Linked DNA regions of Arabidopsis thaliana. The protein of the gene in region 1 interacts with the protein of each later gene in a pairwise test. Each region holds a gene or a part of one and is shown on either strand. Other genes may lie near its edges.

Region 1 (5,067 bases):
TGGTCCGTCAAATCAAATCATTGCTCCTCAGGTCTTCCCATATGTGATATGTCTCCTTTTTCTTCAATATTGCTCTAGAGCAACATAATTTTTCTCACAATTAAAGGACTTCAATTGGGAACAAATGTCAAGGTTTTTTATTATTTAGACCTTTGAGCATGATCAAACTAATTTCTTCACGCACAAGTTCATCGATTTCTTTACGAATCTCAGGGTTCTCACCCCTCAAATATCAACTATGACTCTACTTCAGTATTGGTAATCCTCTCCTTTCCATCAATTAAACTAAGACTTAAAAACCATGAAGTGATCAATATGTTTTGTTTAAGCACTTTCTGATCTCTGGAAACATTAATATGCATACTCTAGAGTCTAGAATTAGATGTGTAGTTAAAAATCGAACAATTCTTGGTTCACCTTTTCATTCACCTCTTTCAGCCAATTAGAATATGTCACCTAATAAATAAATAAACTCATTTAATTATAAAATCTATAATCTTAACCACTATTTCATAAACTCAAACCGATATATAATTTTGTTTAATTACAAAATTTAAACTCTAATTCTATTTTGTAAATCCAAACCGACATTTAAACTCGATTAATTGTAAAATCTAAACTTAAATCGTTCTTTCTAAAACTCAAACCGACATTTAACCTCATCTAATTGTAAAATCCAAACCCGTTTATAACTCTAAACCGACATTTAACCTCGTTTGATTCTAAAATCTAAAATCGTTTATAAACCTAAACTGGTATTTAACTTCGTTTAATCATAAAATTTAAACTTTAACCCTCTCTTATAAATCCAAACCGATATATGATTTTGTTTTGGTGAACTATTAGATTTTATAATTAAATAATTGTTATTGTTTTTTATTAGGTTGTAGATTCTCATTAGCTACAGTAAAAAGGGATGAATATAAAAATCATACTTTGTCCTTTACAAAAAATCACACCTTATAATAGATATGCCAAATCATGTTGGATTTAAAAATTATTCTACATAGCCATGATAATCTAACCTAATTATTGACTCTCTAAGGGCATCTCCATCCATGAGAAACCCACAAAGTTTCTCAAACAAAAAAAAATTAATATTATATTATAATTTGAATTTTTGATTAAAAAAATATTTTTGTTAAAAAGTTGAACCAATAGTGAGAAGCGAATTGTCATGATGGGTTGTAGAGAGTATCTCAAAGTTTCTGAGAATCTTTCTACACTCTCTCTCCTTCATTTTTATTATTTTTATTTTTTTAATTGTGAGAAACTCTTATGAGAAACCCCCAATAGAGATGGTTTTAGTTTGAATCTCAAGTCCGTCACGATCACCACGAGGACCCCCACCACCAAAAAGCTTCTCCATCTCCTCCAATGGCAATCCTTTCGTCTCCGGCAACATAAAGAAGAAGAACCACCATGCCGCCACCGCTATTCCGGCGAATACGAAGAACACGCCCCCTGTCGTGATCGCCTTCGTCATCGACAGAAAACTCATTGAGACCGTCGCGTTCATGATCCTATTAACCGCAACACCTATACTCGCTCCCTGAGCCCTAAGTCTCAACGGGAATATCTCGGAGCTGTACACCCATGTGATAGGTCCAAGCCCTATGGAGAAAAAAGCTACAAATGCATACGTAGAGACGATGCTTAAACTCAATGCCCACGCTAACCGCCCAAATCGCTGAACCATCGTGAGACTAACCGCTAAACTGGTCAATGCGAAGACCATCCCACCCGTACTGGTCAACAGGAGCTTTCTACGACCTACCTTGTCGAGCAAGAAAGTGGCTATTATTATGAAAAAGGCCTTAGTTAAACCTACACCGACCGTGGCTAGTAAGAGCTTGTCTTTCGAAACAACTCCGGCTTTCTTGAAAATTCTCGGGCTGTACAACACGACGGCCTCAATCCCCGTCGCATGCTCGAAAAAGTGTATCCCAACGGCCGCTATCAAGATCAAACGCACCGCAGGTCGCGGTTTTATCACCAACTCCCTCCAAACACTTTTACCGTGATTCTTCTTCTTAACGCCGCCACCAACTTCTTTTATCTCTGTCACATCTACTTCCGCAGCGGTTAAGATGTCTCTGAACCGTTCTTCAGCTTCTTCTTCCGTATTGGATACCAAAACCATTATTTTCTTGGCTTCTTCTAACCTACCTTGCATCACAAGCCACCTCGGCGACTCGGGCATTCTTGTAATCCCAAAAGCCAATATCAAAGACGGGAACGCTGCGATTCCAAGCATCAATCTCCATCCAAGTTTCAACGTCAGTTTCCCAAAACAGTAATTCGAGACATAGCCTAGTAAAATCCCAAGACTAATACAAAGCTCAGGTAGAGAAGTGAGAAAGCCTCTATGTGACGCAGAGGATATCTCGGCAGAGTAAACCGGAGCTATCATGAGAGCAAACCCTACACCAACTCCGGCAATACATCGTCCGACCATCAAAACAGGATAGTTTGGGCCGTAACCCATAAGAACTGAGCCCACTAAGAATATCACGGCGGAGAGAGCTATGGTGTAACGTCGGCCGATGACGTCAGACGTTTTCCCCGCCGTTAGTGATCCGACGAGTGCACAAAGATTCAAGATTCCGGCCAAAACTTCAATCTGAGTGTCGTTTATTTTTAGATCATCTCTTATAAATATCTGAGCTCCGCTCATAACTCCCGTATCTAAGGACAACACACCATTACAAAAAAAAAAATATTCGTTAATATAAAATCATTAATATAATTCCATTGAATATATCTTTATATGATATATGTAGAAAACTTTTGTTTGATATGTAGAGAATGTTAGTATGTTACCATATCCAAAGATGATAGAAATGATGGAAGCAACAATGGCACACCCGAAAGCGAACTTGTTCATATGAGGGTTTGGATCCGAACCGGGAAAATTATGACCATCAGCATGAACCATGTTGAGTCTTTTTCTTCTCTTTTTTTTTTTTTGGGTTAAATTTTAGAATAACTTGTTATATCGATTGTGTGCATTTACTAGTATATATATACACATAACTATATATGTCCACCACTTGCATCCATAGTGGAACAATGACGATCAAAAACTTCTACTGTTGTTCCACAGTGTTTGTGGGTGCCCACGTATTCTGGTACGAGAATTATATTTCTGCAAGATATGAATTTTCCTCAAGATTTAGACGTATACAACCTGAGAAGTATATCGAGCAAAATAAATTGAAAAGATTTCCAACAAAAAAAAAAAGTAGTGTAATCAGGCAAGTGTTTTAAGTTTTAACCAATACATACGTAAGTTAAAATAATAATTAAAAGGTTACAATGAGTTTAAAAAATGGTTTCGCACACGGTCTTCAAATAATTTGTGACGACCTTCGTTGAACTTGAACTTGGTCTTCTTGTTTTCAATTTTTATTATTTTTTAATAAAGGAAGTGAAGATTTTTATTAGATGCTATGTTACATGTAAACCCGATTATTGTAGTTTTGCAATTGCATGTTACGTATAAAGTTGTTCTCGTGAGTGGAATGCATGAAAAATTGTATGTCGTAAACTATTTATGAAACTCTAAAGCAAAAAGTTTCCGTTGTGAAGTCATATGTATGAGAATTCAGAATTGATCATTCATTATAGTAACATATGCTAGAAGAAGTTATATCCACCATTTTTAAATGGTAGGTCATCAATTTTAATACGATATGACCAAAAATATTGCTAATATTGTAAGTTAAAAGTCGCCATCTTCTTCACTTTCGGCATTTTCCTGATCTATGTTCAATAGTGGCGTAACCTTTAAAGATTCTTTTCCACATTTATATAATTTGGTGAACTAAATTTATACGGTGCATTTATTTTCAGTTGGTTTCTTTTTCTTATTGAAGTGATGAAGTCCAAAATTAAACTTGTTTTGACGAAACAAAAAAACTTGTATCCAACAAAAAGCCGTTGTTCTCAACAGACGAATAATACTATCAGACTATATGTATCATTACATAATGAAATTGATATCTGTTGGGAAAAAACTGATGTGTGATTTGATCAATAAATCAGAACATCATAAGTCATAACGTAACCTATAGCTCTGTTTGTATGTGCAAGATAAACAAAAATGTTTTTGGGTTCCAACTAATGTTCATTTTAGCATGATCGATGGAAAATTCTGAAATTGCCAATTCTATCATTTATATTTTTGTCATATGCTTTGTCAGTTTGGCTGGCCTAGAGTTTTACGTCCAATTAGTCTGTTGAGAACTGTATTTTTGTTTTTCTTACTCGTACGTTGTTGGAATTCTGAAACAAGATGTTATTACGCCTCCAGTATTAAATCAATATTTTACCCCGCTAATTATAACATTATATATCTTGGTGGACTACGTCCAATTTATGTTTAGTCTTTTTTACATTCGCTACTAATAAATTGGTATCATAACTTCGAATTTTCAACATGCTTTTGTAATCTGGTAAGCATACATTTGTAAAATTGTAATGAACATAAGAAGCAATATTGGTGTATTAGAGAGACAATAACTTATTTCAAACTTCTAGTTTTTCTAAATAATTCTTAGTGTATACGTTTTATAGATCTCTAAATCTGTTAGAAGTAAAGGTTTACACATTTAATGGATATACGATATATATATTATTAAAAAAGAAGAAGTAAATCTGGATAATCATCTAGCTAGTATCTATATATATAGTTGGCAAAAACGCTAACCTTTGGGATTTGTATACGTAAATTATGCAAATGCACAAAATCCATGTAAATAGTAAAGTTTTGATATGATTCCTTGAAAGTTATATTTTGGTGAGCTGAAAAAGAAAGATACGTGACGAAAAAGTAGTATTTGATTTGTTTTCTTGAAGAGCATATACCATAATGAGTAACTTACTCAAACAAGTAAATGGCATGCGTTTTTTTCTTTTCACTTTTAATTGAAAAGGCATATATTGTCGCTATCAAAAATCAAAACCAAACGAAATTTATACTATGAGGTTAAATGAATTTGTTGGGTAAGAAAATGATATACCTTCAACGCACGGATTACCTATCTTTAATCCAAAAAGCTTTGG
Region 2 (4,632 bases), on another chromosome or scaffold:
TTTGAAGCGACAACGCTTGTCTCTTTTTGCCAATTTGCAATGAACTCAAGATAAGATGTGTTTTTTATTCCTAATCTCATCATGACTCGTGTGCATAATAATTTGGCACATTTTTCTTGTCTGCAAATTGTTTCCTTGGAAATAGGATAACTCCAATTTTTGGCCATTTTCTAATAATTCAAAATGCAATGGGACACTTTGCATCCGTTACCACAATTGTTTAGGGATTTAAACATATATGATAAATTTGGCCGTAGTTGATACATTCCGGTTAATTTCACCTAATTGAAACCTTTTTTAAAAAAATTAATCAGATTTTTTTTTCTTCCAAATTTGGAATATTAAGGTTGAGCACTTGAGCTAAGCTAAACCAAAAAACAACCAAACATCAAAATCAATGATATCATACGTTATTTATTATTCAAAACATCAAAATCTAATTAACTAGAAGATCATAAAGCGTCTCATTCGACCAAATAATCAAATGAACAATTAGATCAGATCATAAAGCGTAATCTCTTTATTATTTATAAATAATCAAATTTATTATTTTATTTGATTATAGTCATAAATTAACTAGAAGATCATAAAGCGTAATTGATCATATTTATTATTTTACCTATCAGATCAGACTATACATGAAATTTAGTAGCTAATATTCAGGACTAGAAAATCTTCAGATGTTTAAGAATCTTGATCGGTAAGTTTATAAGTTCAAGAAAATGACATCCTTATATCATAACGAAGATAAGATTCATTTAAATAATCAAATGAACAATTACTGTGAATTCCAATTAGACCGCATATTAGTATTAATGATGTCGTATCTATTTACAATCCATGAACAATGAACCTAGAACAACAATCCAAAGCTTTTTTAATTTTAGTGAGGTACTAAGTGAGTTTGACAGAAAATGAGTGTTCAGCAACAAAACAAATTTAGCCATCCCTCTCGATAGTAATTCAACTATGCACAAAGTATCTTTTCATTTAAGGAATAAATTAAGACCCACAAATTTGACCTATTTGCAATTTTTTTCTTTAAGAATTAACTACTATTACAAAAACAAATAAAACAAAATTTACATTACTATAAAATTCACCGGTCGGTATCAAGGACTCCGAAAACTCTAGCCAACCTCAAGGACAAGAAACAGAGGTAAATAGCGAGTAAGCCCCCACCGACAAGCTTATCAAGTCTCATCTTCTTCTTTGGCATTATCACAAGTGCCCAAAGCAAGCCTACCATTAAGAACCCTAGTGTCTCAAGCAACGAATTGTCACTAGGAATGATGTAGACCCCGGGGTATTCGGCCAACGAGGAGATGACAAGTGGCACACCTAGTCCAATTACCGTGTTGAATAGCGGGCCTGCGTAGCATCCGGAAAGTGCTATCTGAGCACCATCGTTGCCTCCGTGAAACGCCACGGTCACATTCGCGATAAGATCGCCTAGAGAATTTCCCCAAGCTAGGACGGTTAGTCCTAGCACGGATGGGCTTATACCAAAGATATTACCTAAGGATATTAACAATGAGACTAGCTCTTGTGCTATCATGTATGTCCATGTCACACTCATCGTGAAGCCTCCTAGAAGCCAAACTAATGAGAATTTCTTCGGCGGATGTGATTTTTCTGTCGTCAAGTAAGCTAAGATACCGACGATTAGCCCGATAGATCCGGATATTATGTACAAGATTAGGTTTCTTTGTGACCCGCTGTAATGAGAACAGTAAAGTTCGGTTAGTAGAACAGGAGCGATGGCCGTGGAAACCACAGCGCAAGGCTTTGACCATTTTTCTTCGCAAACGACGGGAATTGTGAGCCGCCTGGGGAGATATAGAGGTAGTCCAATTATGCTCACTAGCACCGAGAAGCAAGATCGGTGCCTTTTTGGAGAATCTTCAAACACAATCTTGAATTCTTGAGTTGTTTTCTCTGGCAAAGCCAGCTTCTCCTCTGCTATATAGCCTAGCAACGAAACACCCATCTCGGCCAAATCTTCTCTGCTACGAAGAATCTGATCGGACATACGTTTCTTGCGGTCAAAGAAATGTGAAACCGATAAAAACCCTACATAGAGGAGATAAATGGAGAGATAACAGAGAGCGACCCAAATGGTTACTTTGCCTATGAAGATGATCAAACCGAGACAGCAAAGAGCGACAAGAAGAAAAACCACGTCGCGGATAAAGCTATTTCTGTCGATAGCGACATCTCTAGATCCAATCAACACACAAATCGTCCCAACAACGAAGCTAGAGACGAAGAACGCACCGCCTAAAATAGAGTTGAGCCCAAAATCGCCATTATTCGATCTTGTGAAGGAGACAACACTTGAGAACAAATCAGGCGCACCGTTGCCAAGAGAGAGAAGCGTGACTCCAGCCATTGTAGGAGACAGCTTCAAAACCTTAGATAAGCTGTCTAAAGAAGGACAGAAGTAACTCGCGGCCGTGTCTCCGAGCAAGTAGAACAGAACAAACAACCAGGCGGATAAAACTAGATGGCCCAAAACAGGGGATTGTCCGAAGATGCAGAAGAAAATCTTGAGATAGTCTATGTAACCTTGTGGGCCACATTTTGATTGAGATCTTATGTAAGAACACTTGGAACGGTGGTCGTCAAGGCTGGCGAGTCCTCCGCTGCAGCTGTCACTGTCACCGCCGGCAAAGGAATTTAAGGTTTGGATGGATCCGGAGGGAGGAGGAGTTTGTGAAGCGAAATGGAGAAAGATGAGAAAGATGAAGAAGATGTTGATGAGGAGAGAAAGAGATTGAGAGCCGAGACGTGAGGAGAAGAGACTTGCCATTCAAGGAAGCAAATGGGTATGAAGTGGAACAATAATGAGGTGTGTTAGGTTTTCTGATATAATAATGAGAAAATTGTAGTTTTTTTTTTTTTGTGTGGAAGTTTTGAATTGTTAATATTTCGGAAAATAAAAGATTCCTTTTTATTTCATGCGGATGTGGGTAGGGGAAAGTATTGTCTTTTTATGCGAAATATATTAAGTGGGGGAGGTTATATTCAATTATTCACACAAGGAGGAAAAATCGAAGTTGATAAAGTGTTTTTAAAGAACTCTATATCTACTATTATTGGTTTTACGAGATATTCATGTTACTACAATTTGTATGTAGTGTTTTTATTTTTCTATGGTCCAACTTGGAGTCCAATTTTCTAGTGTAATCGTCGCGAGGCATGCAAATCACACGTGTCATGATATTTGTGACAATAACAAGGAGTTGAGGATTAATGTAGTTCATAATGTTGCTATTATAGTTAATATTCGATGAAAAGTAGTCAGCATAAAGTATTAATAGAAAAAAACCATAACTATCAAAGTGAGTGAGATTGTGTTGCAATGGTGTTCGTATAATGGTTGAATTAATCACCAACTTAGGTCATTCATTGCTTTCCCGAAAAAACAATACTACTTAATAATTTTTTACGGCCATCAAAATCTGGACATTGCCTAATGTTTTAGGCCTAAAAAGAAATTGATTATTTATATATTATGTATGGTTATATATCAGTTATCAAATATGGACATGTGATTGATAAAATTAATAAAACTAGGATTCGAAAAAATTGAAAATGGAGAAAACTCCAAACCTGAAGGTCGATTGATGTGATTAAGAAGTATTTTGGCTGAGTAGACCACTTTGCAACGCAATCTCAACCGATCACGACTTTTCAAACATAGTCGTCATATCCACATTCTTATGATTTGCTTGTAATTTTTATATTGCATCGTTAAAGAATACACATGAGAATTTAATAAATGATGCAAACAAAAATTAAAGATCATTAATTTGATAAAATTTTGGACCGCCATCTTTTATTTTTTAGTGAAAAAACCGCCGGCTACTTTGTATTCATCATGATTTGAGATAGTTGAAAATACGTTATAAGTCTTTATTCCAATATTCATGACAAGTAGTTATTCCTTTTGTATTCTTAGGAGTTATGTCATTTACTCTATATTGACACAACGTTACTTTGTAGTCAGATAAATATTTATGCAACGTAACCGATATTTCTATTGAAAACTGTTAACATTTTTTAACATGAAATTATTATACATTTCTATTAAATAATAATCGATCGTTTTTCATAAAGGAAAAGCTTGTTTTACGTATCTTTTAAAATTTTCTAGATAATATATAAATATTTCCGACCAAGATCAATTTCCTTTAATTAAGGTCCGAAATAAAAATATTGATAAACAAAAAAAGTATCCAAAAGATTCCTGGTATATTCATTTAGCTGGCATGGCTAGTGCAGTACAAAATACAAACTCTAATTCCAAGAAAACAAAATAACGCAATAATGCAAAGTGCAAACGGACGAGAGCAATCGATTCATATATGGTTCTCTTCTCGATGTAATGCAATCACATGACTAAAACTGGCTCAAATTAGGCCTTTATACAAGACACTTACCTGTAAATAGACTAATATTTGTTTATATAAAACCATCAAATAATATTGTAAACAAATATATATATATATATGTATGTATGTGTTATATATATGTATGTATGTGTTATATCGTGTATAACTATTTAATTTGTTTAATTCACTTGTTCGATTGTATCTTCTTCTTAAACTTAAATCATCTTTTGGTTAT
Region 3 (5,472 bases), on another chromosome or scaffold:
TTCTGTGTACATCTGTTTTGATTTGCATATATATTGGCTTAAGTGGCAAAGGTGCATGCACTATTTCTATTTCTTTGATAAAAGTTTTATGATGCATGCATTCTTACCAGTGATTTCTTTAAAAGGAGAAGACATTTGTTTTGTAATAGTGACGAGAATGTAGACAGAAAAGGAAAGGAATCAGCACGTGTTCATCGCTCGACACGTGGCCAATAATAGCATTGGATTCAGAAAAAAAGAAAAAGAAAAAAGCGAAAAAACCTGTATAACAGGAAAAAAATACAATCTGCACCAGCCGGGAATCGAACCCGGGTCTGTACCGTGGCAGGGTACTATTCTACCACTAGACCACTGGTTATTTATTTAAAAGATTTATATTGGTATAAAACCTTGACCATAAAATGTTCCTAGTGCATCCACTAAGATCAAATTCATATTAATAAACAAAAACATAAAATTCAAACCGATATAGCAAGATTGCTGTTAGTTTTGTCTTCTAAATCTGATAAGTGTTCGTTATTGTCGAGGTTATGTAGCTAGTTTATATATTACTTGTACTAAATTTCAATAGGGCAATCAAAATATACGGATTTTCATGTGTATATATTTTTCTAAATTTGCGGTTTACAAAGAAAAGTTAGTGGTTGATCATATTGATTTCTTGAAAGGGAAATATTACCAATAAAATGATAAAATTGCCAAGAAAAATTAGTAGTACGATCGATAATTTAGTGATATTGGGATCCAAAGAGATGATCATGCACTTAGTTAAGACTCCATTTTCTGATAAGAGTTAAGTGGCGGTAGACCCACAAAGAAATTTGATTCGGTATTGTTATTATTGAGTAGAAAAACAAAGATGGAGTGTTTAACTAAATCATGTCTAATAAGTAGCAAGGTAGGTCAATATAACGTTTTACAAACGAAAAATAGCATTGCATATTTAATTATCTACCAAATATCTTAAGTCAGTCGAATAAACTAACTCATTATGTTATCAAATCAGCCGCAAATTGTGCCGTTTAAGTCAATACTATTTTTAACTTAGATATTTAGTGAGTAGACTTCATACTTGCATAGTCTAGTAGTTATCATTGTTTAATGCAATTTTTTGGTTTTAATGTAAACTTATACTACTATTTGGTCATGTAATCTCACTTTCTAAAAAACCAATGTAATCATCCATAATAGAAATAAAACATTTATTTAATATAATTAACTAATTTTTAAACATTAAAAAGAATAGATTTATTTTTATACATAAAATAATAGAAATATAAATATATATATATATTATTATAGGTTGTTTATTGTAATCCAAAAGCAGAATAAAATTTGGGATAGGTATTAAGAGTCATAAATCTTGAAAATAGAGTCATTAATTAATAAAGCTGAAAAGGAAAGATTAAAAAAAGAAGAAGAATCCTCTAAAATTGAATTTGGTAAGAGTCCACGTAGGTCAAGAAGAAGAAGAAGAAGATGTCGTGCTCGTGTTGTGTTCCAAACGAAAAGCGTCTATGTTCTCTTCATGTACCGTTTCTGGGTCCCACCCCCCTTTCCTTCTTCACTCTCCCCCCAATTCCTCCCTCTCTCTCTCTCTCTCTCTCTCTCTCTCACCAAAACGTAAATCTACTCTCTCTATCGCAGCAGACACAGAAAAAGAGAGAGCGAGAGACTCTGCTCACACACATATTTACTTCCCTAACTTGTCTCTCTCTCTACACATTCTGGTGAGTTTCGTAAGATTCAACAATCGTTTAGACTTCTTCTTCTTCTTCTTCTACAGCTTTTACGTTTTCTGGAAAAGAGATTTTTGGCTGATCACTACGTTGCAGGTATATGATTTCTCAAATGTGAGATGGGTTTGATGTTCCTTTTCGCTATTTCTCATCTGATTTTGAATTTTCTGCGGATTTTGTGAGGAATCGGTAGATTTTGATGTTTGTTCTTGTGGGTGGTTCATAACTTCATACATTTAGGGGATTAAAAGAAAATTAATTTACAAATTCGGTCCTTGTTGTGAAAAAGATTTATAATCTAAAAGACATTAACTTTACTCTCTCCTTGAACAAGTTTTGAATTTTGAATCTTTTTCTGATTTTGATTTTCACTATGTTCATAGGTAATTGCACAATTCTGGGTATACAAAATCCAAACGTTACGCATATTGAATTGAAAAATCTCGATTTTGAGTTCTGGGTATGAATAAAAATCTCACCTTTTTAATTAATTCTTACTCAGGGAAACAGTAATCGATGTTAAAGACATTGTTAGTCCAATGGCTTGTCTTCTTCTTCTTCTTCTTAATCGGTTCCGTCGTCACCGCCGCAGAAGACGACGGTAGCTTGTCGTTATGCAACTGCGACGACGAAGACAGTCTCTTTAGCTACGAGACAATCCTCAACTCGCAAAAAGTCGGCGACTTTCTTATCGCAATCGCTTATTTCTCGATCCCAATCGAGCTGGTTTACTTCGTGAGCCGCACCAATGTGCCTTCACCTTACAATTGGGTGGTCTGCGAGTTTATAGCCTTCATTGTTCTCTGCGGCATGACCCATTTGCTCGCTGGTTTCACCTACGGGCCTCACTGGCCTTGGGTCATGACAGCTGTCACTGTCTTCAAGATGCTGACTGGTATCGTCTCTTTCCTCACGGCACTCTCGTTAGTCACTCTCTTACCATTGCTTCTTAAGGCTAAGGTTCGTGAGTTTATGTTGAGTAAGAAGACCAGAGAGCTTGATCGTGAGGTTGGGATCATTATGAAGCAGACTGAGACGAGTTTGCATGTTCGTATGCTCACTACCAAGATTAGGACGTCTCTTGATCGACACACCATTCTATACACTACGCTTGTGGAGTTGTCCAAGACTCTGGGGCTCAAGAACTGTGCGGTTTGGATCCCGAATGAGATCAAGACGGAGATGAATCTTACTCATGAGTTAAGACCGAGGATTGATGATGAGAATGAGAATGAGCATTTTGGTGGTTATGCTGGGTTCTCGATACCGATTAGTGAGTCTGATGTTGTGAGGATTAAGAGAAGCGAAGAGGTGAATATGTTGAGCCCTGGTTCTGTGCTTGCCTCAGTGACTAGCCGAGGGAAGTCAGGTCCTACGGTTGGGATAAGAGTCCCTATGCTTCGGGTTTGTAACTTTAAAGGCGGGACACCAGAGGCGATTCACATGTGTTATGCGATATTGGTGTGTGTGCTTCCATTGAGACAGCCGCAGGCTTGGACTTATCAAGAGCTTGAGATTGTTAAGGTGGTGGCTGATCAAGTGGCGGTTGCAATCTCTCACGCCGTGATTCTTGAAGAATCTCAGCTTATGAGAGAGAAACTCGCTGAACAGAACCGAGCGCTTCAGGTTGCGAGGGAGAACGCACTGAGAGCTAATCAAGCCAAGGCTGCGTTCGAGCAGATGATGAGCGATGCAATGAGGTGTCCTGTGCGGTCCATTCTCGGGTTGCTTCCTTTGATACTTCAGGATGGGAAGTTACCCGAGAACCAGACTGTTATCGTTGATGCAATGAGGAGAACCAGCGAGTTACTTGTACAGCTTGTAAACAATGCCGGAGATATAAACAATGGGACAATCCGCGCTGCAGAGACTCATTATTTCAGTTTGCATTCGGTTGTGAAAGAGTCAGCTTGCGTGGCGAGGTGTTTATGCATGGCAAATGGTTTTGGTTTCTCAGCTGAAGTTTATAGAGCATTGCCTGACTACGTCGTAGGTGATGATAGAAAGGTCTTTCAAGCGATTTTGCATATGCTTGGGGTTCTAATGAATCGAAAGATCAAAGGGAATGTGACTTTCTGGGTTTTTCCGGAAAGCGGGAACTCAGACGTATCAGAGAGGAAAGATATTCAAGAAGCGGTTTGGCGACATTGCTATTCGAAAGAATACATGGAAGTTAGATTCGGATTCGAGGTAACTGCTGAAGGTGAAGAGAGTAGTAGTAGTAGTAGTGGTAGTAACCTGGAGGAGGAGGAAGAGAATCCGAGTCTCAACGCTTGCCAAAACATTGTAAAGGTTGGTCATTTGTGTTTTGTATGTAAATGTGCTAATGACTTGGTTTAACACTTTTATCTTGTTTTGTGACAGTATATGCAAGGGAATATTCGGGTTGTTGAGGACGGTCTAGGTTTGGTGAAAAGCGTCTCAGTTGTTTTCCGGTTTCAACTCCGGCGATCGATGATGTCGAGAGGCGGTGGATATTCTGGAGAAACGTTTAGAACCTCAACTCCTCCGTCTACTAGCCACTGATCATTGACGTCAGGAAGGGGGGGAGGGGAATGTAGTGCAAAAGAAAGATTTAAGGGGTGGAATCTGAGAATTTGTAAAAACAGTAGGGGCTTTAATGAGATTAACAGAGAGAGTACTAAAACGTTGTCGTTCGGTTGTAAAAACCTGAAAGTTAACTAGGTTTTAACCTATCGTGTAGGCAAAAGGTATGATGCAGACTTGTTGTAACTTGCTGGTGATAACAGAATTCAAAGTAAAAAAATGTGTCGGAGGATGTTCCTTACGGATTTGTGATTTACAAGCCTACCAACTCCTTTGTCAAATATTGTGACGTTTTAGATGAAGCTTATAAATTTATTGATTTCTGATCCAGAAACCGTATACAACTTGTATCCACAATATGTATCCAGGTACATATTAACTTCGACCTTTTAATTAACTTTTGTTTTTAAAAGGTTTATGTGATTTTTTTTTTTTAACATTGAGGTGATTCGTGCGACCTCTCTTTCTCTCTATTTATCTCTCTTTCTTTTCCTCCGTCGTCTTTTTTGGTTTGTTCTCTCTCTGTAGAATCTCATAGGAGCTGCCATTAGCCCATTCAACGAATTAGCTTCTCTTTGCTCTTTCTTCCACCATCTCAGGTTCGCTTCGATCTACAACCAATAAGCTTCTTCTATATCTCCTCCTTTGTTCTTCGGATTTTGCGAGGCTTTATGTTCCGATTACAGTCTTTCATTTTGATACCACACCGATTTTGATTTTCCCCGATCGTTGATTTCATCTGGGCTTTGTTTTGTTTTCCGATGTCTTTGATGAAATTATGAGGTTTCTCTGGATATTTTAGCTGATTGAAATGATATATTGCTTCGCCGCCCTCTAATTTTTCGGCTGATTTTTTTTTGTTTGTTTGTAATTTTACCAATCTAATTTTGAAAATTGGAAATTAGGGTTTATTGCCCATCGATTATCTGATGTGGGTTTTAAAGGGTTTCGATTTTTTAGCCATGAATTCGTTATACTCACGGATAAAATCTAGAAATGATTGCGGATTGGTATAGTTTGAGAGAGCCAGATCGTTGAATATCTTTGTCCATTTCAAATCATGACTTGGCATATTGTTTTCTGGGTATACATAATTGTGGGGATTACAGAATTCAAAATCTAATTTATTTGCTCCAATCGTTAATTGCTGATAGTTGAAGGAGAGAGAGAGCTTTGACGAAACAAT

What was found. Proteins that work in one complex are often made in the same cells at the same time.
Region 2: the proteins of AT2G18480 (region 1) and CAX7 interact in a protein complementation assay, tested with the Arabidopsis thaliana proteins (one large-scale study listed by BioGRID).
Region 3: the proteins of AT2G18480 (region 1) and ERS2 interact in a protein complementation assay, tested with the Arabidopsis thaliana proteins (one large-scale study listed by BioGRID).

What each region holds. Positions count from the first base shown.
Region 1 is NC_003071.7:8,008,306-8,013,372, forward strand, and holds AT2G18480 (Major facilitator superfamily protein), read right to left. Parts: upstream 2,973-5,067; 5' UTR 2,939-2,972; coding exon 2,824-2,938; intron 2,689-2,823; coding exon 1,277-2,688; 3' UTR 796-1,276; downstream 1-795. UniProt on the Arabidopsis thaliana protein: Plasma membrane sugar-proton symporter.
Region 2 is NC_003076.8:5,901,539-5,906,170, forward strand, and holds CAX7 (calcium exchanger 7), read right to left. Parts: upstream 2,995-4,632; 5' UTR 2,813-2,994; coding exon 1,100-2,812; 3' UTR 856-1,099; downstream 1-855. UniProt on the Arabidopsis thaliana protein: Vacuolar membrane-localized H(+)-dependent K(+) and Na(+) transporter.
Region 3 is NC_003070.9:1,153,909-1,159,380, reverse strand, and holds ERS2 (ethylene response sensor 2), read left to right. Parts: upstream 1-1,567; 5' UTR 1,568-1,835; intron 1,836-2,241; 5' UTR 2,242-2,255; coding exon 2,256-4,031; intron 4,032-4,103; coding exon 4,104-4,265; 3' UTR 4,266-4,617; downstream 4,618-5,472. UniProt on the Arabidopsis thaliana protein: Ethylene receptor related to bacterial two-component regulators. Acts as a redundant negative regulator of ethylene signaling.